Stegostoma tigrinum: one gene and its partners. The protein of the gene in region 3 interacts with the protein of the main gene of each other region in a pairwise test. Links are inferred from orthologs where the notes say so. Each region holds a gene or a part of one and is shown on either strand. Other genes may lie near its edges.

The links.
Region 1: the proteins of large proline-rich protein BAG6-like (region 3) and klhl12 interact in binary tests that used the Homo sapiens proteins (3 or more experiments, as listed by UniProt). The two-hybrid records come from large-scale screens. The link is inferred for Stegostoma tigrinum from reciprocal best matches to the Homo sapiens genes BAG6 and KLHL12.
Region 2: the proteins of large proline-rich protein BAG6-like (region 3) and rnf126 interact in binary tests that used the Homo sapiens proteins (3 or more experiments, as listed by UniProt). The link is inferred for Stegostoma tigrinum from reciprocal best matches to the Homo sapiens genes BAG6 and RNF126.

What each region holds. Positions count from the first base shown.
Region 1 is NC_081374.1:45,325,086-45,328,836, reverse strand, and holds the start of klhl12 (kelch-like protein 12), read left to right. Parts: upstream 1-1,259; 5' UTR 1,260-1,439; intron 1,440-3,311; 5' UTR 3,312-3,426; intron 3,427-3,751. UniProt on the Homo sapiens protein: Substrate-specific adapter of a BCR (BTB-CUL3-RBX1) E3 ubiquitin ligase complex that acts as a negative regulator of Wnt signaling pathway and ER-Golgi transport.
Region 2 is NC_081383.1:14,959,141-14,962,891, reverse strand, and holds the start of rnf126 (E3 ubiquitin-protein ligase RNF126), read left to right. Parts: upstream 1-897; 5' UTR 898-940; coding exon 941-1,012; exon of another isoform or gene 1,013-1,294; intron 1,295-3,751. UniProt on the Homo sapiens protein: E3 ubiquitin-protein ligase that mediates ubiquitination oF target proteins. Depending on the associated E2 ligase, mediates 'Lys-27'-, 'Lys-29'-, 'Lys-48'- and/or 'Lys-63'-linked polyubiquitination of substrates.
Region 3 is NC_081387.1:19,777,675-19,781,425, reverse strand, and holds the start of large proline-rich protein BAG6-like, read left to right. Parts: upstream 1-1,437; 5' UTR 1,438-1,794; intron 1,795-3,751. UniProt on the Homo sapiens protein: ATP-independent molecular chaperone preventing the aggregation of misfolded and hydrophobic patches-containing proteins.

The DNA of each region.
Region 1 (3,751 bases), on a different chromosome or scaffold from region 3:
ATGGTGGGAGGGGTTTAGAGGGTGGGGAGGTGTTGGTAGGGGGCCTTTAGGGGGTGGGGAAGGTGATGGTGGGAAGGGTGTAGGGGGGCTTTAGGGGATGGGGAAGGTGATGGTGGGAAGGATTTAGGGGGTGGGGAGGTGTTGGTAGGGGGGCTTTAGGGGATGGGAAAGGTGATGGTGGGAGGGGTTTTGGGGGTGGGGAGGTGTTGGTAGGGGGGCTTTAGGGGTTGGGGAAGGTGATGGTCGGTGGGGTTTAAAGGGTGGTGAGGTGTTGGTAGGGGGGGCTTTAGGGGGTGGGGAAGGTGATAGTGGGAGGGGTTTGGGGGTGAGGAGGTGTTGGTAGGGGGGCTTTTAGGGTGGGGAAGGTGATGGTGGGAGGGGTTTGGGGGTGGGGAGGTGTTGGTAGGGGGGCTTTAGGGGGTGGGGAAGGTGATGGTGGGAGGGGTTTGGGGGAGGGAAGTGTTGGTAGGGGGGCTTTAGGGGGTGGGGAAGGTGATGGTGGGAGGGGTTTGGGGGAGGGAGGTGTTGGTAGGGGGGCTTTAGGGGGTGGGGAAGGTGATGGTGGGAGGGGTTTGGGGGGTGGGGAGGTGTTGGTAGGGGGCTTTAGGGGTGGGGAAGGTGATGGTGGGAGGGGTTTGGGGTGGGGAGGTGTTGGTAGGGGGGCTTTAGGGGGTGGGGAAGGTGATGGTGGGAGGGGTTTGGGGGAGGGAAGTGTTGGTAGGGGGGCTTTAGGGGGTGGGGAAGTTGATGGTGGGAGGGGTTTGGGGGAGGGAGGTGTTGGTAGGGAGGTTTTAGGGGGTGGGGAAGGTGATGGAAGGAGGGGTTTAGGGGGTGGGGAGGTGTTGGTAGGGGGCTTTAGGGGATGGGGAAGGTGATGCTAGGAGGTGTGTAGGGGGGCTTTAGGGGGTGGGGAAGGTGATGGTGGGAGGGCTTTAGGGGGTGGGGAAGGTGATGGTAGGAGGGGATTAGGGGATGGGGAGGTGTTGGTAGGGGGGCTTTAGGGGATGGGGAAGGTGATGGTGGGAAGGGTTTTGGGGGTGGGGAGGTGTTGGTAGGGGGGCTTTAGGGGGTGGGGAAGGTGATGATGGGAGGGGTTTGGGGGAGGGAAGTGTTGGTAGGGGGTCTTTAGGGGGTGGGGAAGGTGATGGTAGGCGGGGTTTGGGGGTTGGGGAGGTTTTGGTATGGGAGGGTGAGGATCAGCTGTTGAAAGATGTCACGTGAGCTTTCACTACGCGCGCATGCGTCAGGCCGTGCATTGTGGGTGTTGTAGTCCAGTAGGAGCCGCGGCTGGAGGGCGGTAAGAGCTCGGCTGGGGCTCGGGCCTTGGAGCTGCGGCCTGACCCCTAGCTCCTCTACACAATCTCCCATCCCCTCATCTGGGTGAGGAAAGGGCCGGCCGGCCGGCAAAACGCGGAGAGATGGGATCGGGAATGATCCTGGTAAAGATGAAATGTTCTGTGTTTTATGTTAAAGATGAAAACCCTGCAATTGGTCGTCAAGGCTGTACATCTCGGGGTGATCACTGAGGAAGATCGCTGAGGGGGGGTAGAATGGGATGATCACTGGGTTAGTCGCTGAGGGAGGGGTTGGGGTTGATCACTGGGTTCGGAGGAGATGGCTGAGGGGGTGGGATGGCTGGTAATCAATGGGGGAGATCACCGTGGGAGAGGGGAATGGGGTGGTCATTGGGGGAGATCACTGAGGTGGGAAATGGCTGGTCGCTGGAGGAGATCACTGTGGGAGAGCGGAATGGGGGTGGGTCATTGGGGGAGATCACTGAGGGGGTGGAATGGCTGGTAATCACTGGGGGAGATCACCGAGGGAGAGGGGAATGGGGTGGTCATTGGGGGAGATCACCGAAGGAGAGGGGAATGGCAGGTAATCATGGGGGGAGATCACTGAGGGAGAGGGGAATTGGGGGTGGTCATTGGGGAAGATCATTGATGGTGTGGGATGGCAGGTCATCACTGGGGGTGATCACTGAGGGAGAGCAGAATGGGGGTGGTCGTTGGGGGAAGGTGAATGGGGATGATGAATGGGGGAGGGTGTGATCACGAGGAAGAGACAAGATGACCAGCGTCCGGAGGAAGGGCAAGGTGGAGAGACCTCCAGGAATCCAGGTGGCATGACTGGAGTTGTGCAGATCCAGGATGCAGTAGAAAATGAACAGTAGGAGGAGAGGAGGAAAAGATGAGGAATCCAGAGAATTGGAAATAAACACAGAAAGGGGTAGCAAGAGGGAAGAATATGGGGAGACAAGAACAGCAGCAAAGGTCAATAAATAGACAACAGTGTTTAAAGAAGACCACATAAATGGTGCAGATACTTTGTGATAGACGAAGAATTAGTTTGGAAATTTTGACTCCAGGTTTAAAGGTTTTGATGTGGAAATAATTACCTCGGGGAGAAGTTTCCCGAGAGTCCATTCAAGAAGGTGTCTGCTCTGCATTGGTTCTTGGTTATAATGAGAATCCAATATGACTTCTTCAGAACTCCAGCAGTAGTTTGCTTTTATTTCTTAGTTATAACTACTTTTGCTGGTGCCGAAAAGGGTCTTGCTCACATTCGCAGTGGTTTCACGGGGAAAGCATCCAAGGTGCTTCGAATGTTTAAATGTTAAAAATTAAATAGGGGGGTTTAAGAAGGTAAGTTCCAGAGTGTGGACCTAATCTTGTTGGAGACTTTGACACTACTTGTGTTTGGGGTGGGGGTGGTTAGCAATATGGTTAAAGCAAAGGATTCAAGAGAGTTGCAGTAGAGTTTAAGATCTGCAGTAAGATGGCATCTTTAAACCTATTGGTAATGGTTGAATAGAGCCTATGGTTACAGACCCATGCCAATTGATTAAATGCTTTCTTTGTTGCACAAATATTAGTGCTAGAGCAGCGCAGGATGTGTTAACATACCAGAAAAGGGTCAACAAGACAGCTTGGAAGGTCCGTATGCATCCTTCCAAATGAAAGTACTCGAAAGAGGAGGAAACAGTTAACACAAAGAAAATCCCAGCTCGACCAAAAAGGTTTACAGAAGCTATTTAAGCCATTCTGTTATCAAGAATACTGTGGAACCATTTTTCTGTGACCTATTTAAAGTAAGTGTTTCCATAGTGCATGGCTGAATTACTGGAACAGGCTCCTGGGGGTTGCAATTTTCTACTGATAGAAAGATGTCTCCTGCCTGGAGAGGAAGCAGAGCCTGTAACACTGTAGTATTTTCATTTCCTGATACAGATTCAGGTTGTGCACACATGGTGGAAGTGCATTCTTTGAGAAATGAATCAATTTTATCATATTGATTTTTTTTAATTGCAGGTGATATGACTGGATATGGCTGAAGGCGATTGAACTGGGAGAAATTCTGTGAAATTAGCTTTGCCCGGTTCTGGAAGAACAGAAAATCTCAGGAGTAATTTTATGCTGCTGGCAGGTGATGGACTTCAGTTCTGCCATGGCTTATCAAATGTGGTAGTAACTCTGGTTTGGCAAACAAGTCTAAGAATAAGCCTAAATAAAAACCGAAAGAACTGTGGATGCAGTAAGAATAAGCCATCTCTGTGGCGTGAAGACAAATAATATGTCTAATTCGTTTCAGTGTTCCTAAAACATTCCCAAGTCATCTTGTCAGGCTGTTTTTGCAATTTAACCTGTTTTCATTGTTTCTGTGGTCAGACTACAGGGTTGTTTGTTGCTTTTCAGGATCACAAGGATCTTCAGGCTCCCACTGCATTATTTTCTGTTGCAGCACCTCTGCC
Region 2 (3,751 bases), on a different chromosome or scaffold from region 3:
AGCAGAAAAGATAATGGGGTTGCTAATTGTCATTGAAAAGAAATGGAGACGTAAAAATTGATATGAATTGAGAACTGAAAGGGAGAAAAAGGGTCCTCCCTGCCGACAGTTAAGTGAATAAAACACAAACGAGACTTGACTGTGTTACTGGGGAGAAGGGGGAAGAATGTAAGGGAAACGGACAGCAGACAGCATGAGGTCGGGCGTCTGAAGTCGTGGAATTCAATAATGAGTCCTCGCAGTTGTAAACTGCCGAAGTGGAAAGTGAAGTGTGGTTCCTGGGATTGTACTTCATTGGAACACTGTACCAAGCCCAGGCCTGAAAGGCTAGCAGGAGTGCAAGGAGGGTTATTGAAACGGCAACTAGGAAGGTCGGGATCATTGCTAAATGAACAGTTTGATGTTGCCAATGTAAAACCACCTGCTGTTGGGAGCGTTCGAATACCACTGGTTAGACCGAATGAAGAGGGTGAAAGACCGCTGGGGATGCGCAGGAGGTTGAAATATAGCCAGCCTCCGATCTTATTGAATGGCAGGACCGGCTCGATGGTGTGGGGGGTGGAACGAGGGGCCTACAATGGTTCACACTTGGAGCCTGGGCCCAGCGAGGTTGAACAGGCCCCGGCGGCGGCCCGTGGAGGAAGACAAGCAGAAGGCGCCAAGCCGGTTGTCCCTGTCAGAGTCGGTAGTGGCGGCTCCTCACTGTCGCCATGACCAACGGGAGGGGAAGAAGGCGAATCGGGTAAGAAAGCCCAGGTCAGCGGTCATTATATAAAAACACACCCAGAGTTAAGACACACGAGTGGGTCGCGAATAACAACAGACCCTCCGCTCTCCGGTGATTGACAGATCCAAGTGCGTCACAATTGGCGTGTGAGGTCATATGTTGGATACGCCGGGGCACCCGTATTGTACGTCACTGTGGCGGCTTTACGTGAATATGGCGGAGGCTTCCTCACTCTCTCGCTATTTCTGTCACCGCTGCTCGGCCGAGATTCTCCCCAGGCTGCCCGTGAGTCCACAACTCTCGACCCTCACCCCACTCTCCTCTCCTCCCTGCGAATTACCGGTCGGTTTTGTTCCGTGGGTTAATTTTGTGTTTTTTTTAAAGAAAAATGCATTTTGTCGTTTGGACTCTGACGGTGAGGGTGACGGGCCCGGTCCGAGCTGACACGGCGAGTGATGTTGGTTGGGGGTTCGGGGGGGGTAGGGAGCCAGCAGCGGTTTCAGAGCCAATACAAGTTGGAGCCTTGGGCCTCTCTTTCAGTCTCTCCCACGAGCCGGGCTCCGGCTCTGCTTTGCGAAATATTGCCCCCCGCCACACTGGGCAACCCTTAGTGCGCAGGCGCGGAACCCCCATCAAAACCTCCAAGCCCGGCAACTTCAGATTCCTTCTTTTGGAATTTCAGGAACTTTTTTGGTGCTCCCTCTGACAACCAGCCCGCTCCACCCGATTTCAGCTCAGTCGAATTCCTTCCCCATCCTTTCTGCCTTACAGAAGCCACGTTAGCTTCTTTCACTTCCTCTGGTTTGTAGCTAGCTAATTTGCCACATTCCACAGTTGGCTATGACTAACTCTGGACACGTTTGGTGTTATGGAATGTTGCATGTGGCTATGCTATTCTATGCTTAACTGTGTCCATATCTGTCATGGTATGCCAAATTTGGTTGTGCTGTTCCATGACTAACTATGGACTGTGATATCTATGTGTAAGAGAGCACAAGTGAGAGGTACCCAGGCTCTTTACTGCTGTCTGGTAACTTGCCGTGAGTGCCATGACTGTGCTGTGTGTATGTCCACATGTATTCAACTGTGTTGTGACCCATTTGTCGTCCTGGTGTGTTCAGATCTGCCTGTTACGCTATACCTGTTCATTGTCAGTCTTTGTGCACCTTGAAGGAGTGGCATTCTTGCATCACGCCAGCTGTAGCTGATGGGTCCCTTTGCTTCGTTCTGCACAGTTGCCAAGTCGAGATTCCTGAAATGTAGCTGCTGGTGTGCATAGCTAGTGGTTGAAGTCAGAAGTGAGATGACAACTTGTTGGGCACTGGGTTCCTCTACCCCCACACCTTTTTAATGTGGATTTGTGGCTTGGCAGGGGTCAAGAATACAAGACCTCTCTAACATCTGTAATATGCTTCCATGGTGTCACTTATTTGATATAAATATCTTATAGACTTTTATTTCATTTAATTTCTTTCTCCTTAAGAGTTCTTCACCTATTTCTAGGCTAGCTTCTAAATGAATTAGTATGAAAGTTCATCTTGTACAATTTGAACTACCTGTTTAGGTGCTTGATGATTATCTTCAATTGCTGTAATTTAGTTCAGATTCTATGGTTCAATTGTGTAATACTGTTGATAGTGGAAATCTGATATGATAGCAGGAAATGCTGGAAACATTCAGCAGGTAAGGCAGACCTATGGGGGTGCGAGAGGATAGGTGACCCAACAAGCTTCTATTTTGTTTTGGTTTTTAATTATGAATATAGTTCAGTTTAAACCAGACTGCAGGGCAGTCTTGCATGACTATATCTGCTCACTTGCAACTGGGCAGAATTAAAGCATTAGATGATTTCATCTTACTTCACAATATTCGCTTATTTCACTACAAGTATGTAGTATTTTATTTGCTTACTGCTACAATGAACTGGGAAAATTGTAACTGAAACAAAAAGAAACAGTGTGACTTTTGAATTCAGTGGAAAGTCTCCAGTGTCATGACCCTCATGAGCTGCCTTTCTTTTGGTAATGCTATAGGCTTAATATGGAAAGATCTACAGCTTTCTCCATTCTTGGACATGGGTGACACCATGTGTCACTATGTAGTATGAGCAGAATCTGGGAAGCCTTTCACAATGCGCCACCTATAGATCACTGGAAATAAATCGAGGAAGTAAGAAAATGCTTATTTGCAGAAAAAAAGATTTTCTATATTATATTTTTGTTTTCTTCCAAGAGGATAAGTCCAATGTTGTCAATCATGTCTGATTTTAGGTGCTGATTATGTATTGGCTGACAATATATTGGTGTGTGTCAGTGGCAATGGGATGGTGGTTAGATCTTGATGATCTAAAACCACCTTGAGAATCAGTTTGTAATTCCTTTTCAAAAACTCAAAAGTACAATTTGCAAAATATAACTCAGACTACTTCTGAGATTTACTGTGAATGATCTGATTCCTGTTGTTGAATTTTATACCTGTAAAAATTGTAACTGCTCACCAAGTGGGTGATGAGTCATTTCCCTAGTTAGTTTTCTGTTTCGCCTTGCAGTTGTGTTTTTACTTTGTGCTCTAGAACATTCTGTCTTGGTGTTTCTCAAGCTTGAAATGATTAAATGAGAGTAGGTGCGGGTTAGCCATGTTCCACTGCCTCTGAGCCACAAGATTGTGGGATGAGTACCAGTTTGAGAGACCTGGTTGCTGAACCTAGGCTGACAGTCCAATGCAGCAGTGGACTATATGACGTGGTGACTCTGAAATGCAAAACCAAGCCATGCCCTTCTGCCCTATTAAAATGGGAGCAATTTAAAAAAGGATGGCAGTAGAGATTCTTATGTTGTGTTGACATTATATCTCTAAACTAATATCACTGAAACAAATCTGACCCTTTGTAGTAATTTAGCTGTATGTTTATGACAGAAAGTACCAGTTAGTTGCTTCAGTGCCTTTCTCTTTCTATTGTAAGGTGTACATGCAGTCTCAGGAGAGGTTGAATGCTAGTCCCTAGAAAGTACCAGATCAAAACAT
Region 3 (3,751 bases):
TGACCATGTACAGTGTGTATGGACGATTAGTGTATACAGATAGCAACTGTGTACAGTTAATGTGACTGAGTACAGACAGTGACTGAATATGGTCAGTGAGTTTGAAGGGTCAGTTTCTGTGCTGTACAACTCTACAACTACAAACAGTAAGTGTGACTGTGGACACATAGTGGCTGTGTACAAACAGTGAATGTGTACAGACTGACAGTGACTGTGTACAGTAGGTTACTATGATTGTGTATAGACAGTTGCTGCACACATACAGTGACTGTAATTGTTGAAGACAGTGACTATGTACAGGCAGTGAGTGTGTACATACAGTGATTGTGTACAAGCAGTGTGTACAGTCAATGAGGGTGCACAGACTGTGAACAGGAAGTGAATGTGTGCACTCAGACTGTGTACAGAATATGGCTATATCACAGTATGAGTGTGACTGTGTACAGACTGTGAGTATGTCCAGTCAGGGAATGTGTACAGGCAGACTGTGTAAAGGCAGTGAGTGTGTGTGCAGACTGTGACAGTGTACCAACTGTGTGTGCACAGATTGTGACTGTACTTGCTGCGGGTGCAAACAGAATGTGTGTACAGGCAGTGAGTGTTTATAGACTGTGACAGTGTACAGAATGTGACAGTGTGCAGACTGTGTGTGCACAGATTGTGACTGTGTACAGGCTGTGGCTGTGTACAGGCAGTGAGAGTATACAGTCAGTGATAGTGTACAGGCAGTGAGCATGTACAGACAGTGACACTGTACAGACTGTGACTGTGTACAGGCAGTGTATTCAGGCTGTGTGAGTACATGTAATGAGTGTGTACAGAATGTGAGTGTGCCTCTGTAAAGGCAGTGTGTCCATACAGTGAGTGTATACAGTCAGTGAAAGTGAGTGCATAAGGCAGGGAGTTATAGTCAGTAAGTGTGTACAGACTGTGAACAGGCAGTGAGTGTGTACATGCAGTGTGTATGTACAGTCTGGAAAGTGTACAGACAGATTGTGTACAGCTGTGAGCATGTACTGGCAGTGACTGTGTACATGCTGTGAGTGTGTACAGACTGTGTCCACAGTTAGTAAGTGTGTACAGACTGTGAGGATGTACTGGCTGTGACAGTATATCTGCTGCAAGGGTGTGGAGACTGTGAATGTGTACATGCAGTGAGTGTGTATAAACTGTGAGTGTGAATCTGAGCAGGTAGTGTGTGTGTGTACAAACTGTCGCTGTGTGTGTACAAGCTGTAGCTGTGTACATGCAGTGTGTACTGACGGTGAGCGTGATTGTACAGACTGAGTGTGACATGCACAGGCTGTTAGTGTGTACAGGTGGTGCATATGCGCAGACAGTCACTGTGTATAGGCTGAGAGTGTGAACAGGCAATGAGTGTGTACGGGCAATGACTGTACACAGACTGTCAGTGTGTGAGGAAAATGACTGGGCACAGGCTGAGTGTGTACAGGCAGTGAGCATGACTATACAGGCTGTGAGTGTGTACAGGCAGTGAATGTGAGCGTGTGCAGGCTGTGAGTGTGTACAGGCAGAGACAGTGAGTGTGCAGGCAGGCGGGAGCGGGGCAGCCGCGGTCTCCATGGTTGCCGGAGGGGGCCTGGCGGGGAGTGCGCAGGCGCACTGCTTCTCGGGGACGGTGCCGAGCGCGGAGACGGTCACAGAGAGAGCGGCCGGTGGGTGGCGAGACACGGGCCTGTTCATCACCGCCGGCAGGGAGCTGCACCAACACCCTCGTCCCGGCTGCTCCACTTCCGAGGCGGCGGAGAGCCCGGAGCGGGATCGGGAACCAGGGTGAGTGCGCCACGGGCCGCAGGAGGGAGTGAGGGCCCGGAGCCAGGCCTGAGGGAGTAGGCCGCGGGACGGGGGGGTGGTGGGGGAAGCTTGGGGGTGTGAGCCAGGAGCTGGGGTGAAGGTGGTTCCCTATTCCCCCCCCCACCGCACCCACTCGCGTTTTCCCTCCGTGTGTGTCCTCAGAACCTGCGACACTCCCCACCAATTACCCACACACACACACTCCCCCCCACACACTCCCCCCCCCCACAACACACACTCCCCCCCCCCCAACACACACTCCCCCCCCAACACACACTCCCCCCCCCCCCAACACACACTCCCCCCCCAACACACACTCCCCCCCCCCAAACACACACTCCCCCCCCCAACACACACTCCCCCCCAACACACGCTCCCCCCCCAACACACACTCCCCCCCCCCAACACACACTCCCCCCCCCAACACACACTCCCCCCCCAACACACACTCCCCCCCCCCCAACACACACTCCCCCCCCAACACACACTCCCCCCCCCCCCCAACACACACTCCCCCCCCCAACACACACTCCCCCCCAACACACGCTCCCCCCCCAACACACACTCCCCCCCCCCAACACACACTCCCCCCCCAACACACACTCCCCCCCCCCCAACACACACTCCCCCCCCCCAACACACGCTCCCCCCCCAACACACGCTCCCCCCCAACACACACGCTCCCCCCCCCAACACACACTCCCCCCCCCCCAACACACACTCCCCCCCCCCAACACACACTCCCCCCCCAACACACACTTCCCCCCCCAACACACACTCCCCCCCCAACACACACTCCCCCCCCCAACACACACTCCCCCCCCAACACACACTCCCCCCCCCAACACACACACTCCCCCCCCCAACACACGCTCCCCCCCCCAACACACGCTCCCCCCCCAACACACGCTCCCCCCCCCCCAACACACACTCCCCCCCCCAACACACACTCCCCCCCCCCAACACACACTCCCCCCCCCCAACACACACTCCCCCCCCAACACACACTCCCCCCCCAACACACACTCCCCCCCAACACACACTCCCCCCCCCAACACACACTCCCCCCCCCAACACACACTCCCCCCCCCCAACACACACTCCCCCCCCCAACACACACACTCCCCCCCCCAACACACGCTCCCCCCCCCAACACACGCTCCCCCCCCCAACACACCTGCCTCCCCCCCCAACACACGCTCCCCCCCCAACACACGCTCCCCCCCCCAAACACACGCTCCCCCCCAACACACGCTCCCCCCCCAACACACACGCTCCCCCCCCCAACACACACGCTCCCCCCCCCCAACACACACGCTCCCCCCCCCAACACACACACCCCCCCCAACACACGCTCCCCCCCAACACACGCTCCCCCCCCCCCCAACACACGCTCCCCCCCCCCAACACACGCTCCCCCCCCCAACACACGCTCCCACCCCCCCAACACACGCTCCCCCCCCCAACACACGCTCCCCCCCCAAACACACGCTCCCCCCCCAACACACACTCCCCCCCCCAACACACCTCCCCCCCCCACACACACTCCCCCCCCCCCCACACACACACTCCCCCCCCCCACACACACACCCCCCCCCCCCCACACACACACTCCCCCCCCCCACACACACACACCCCCCCCACCCACACACCCCCCACCCACACACCTCCTCCCCCAACACACACTCCTCCCCCAACACACACACCCCCCCACCACACACACACTCCCCCCCCACCACACACACACACCCCCCCCCACCACACACACACACCCCCCCCCCCACACACACACCCCCACACACCACACCCCCCCACCCACACACTCTCCACCCACACACTCTCCACCCCACACTCTCCACCCACACACTCTCCACCCACACACTCCTCCCCCAACACACCACACTCCCCCCCCCCCCACATCACACTCCCCCCCCCA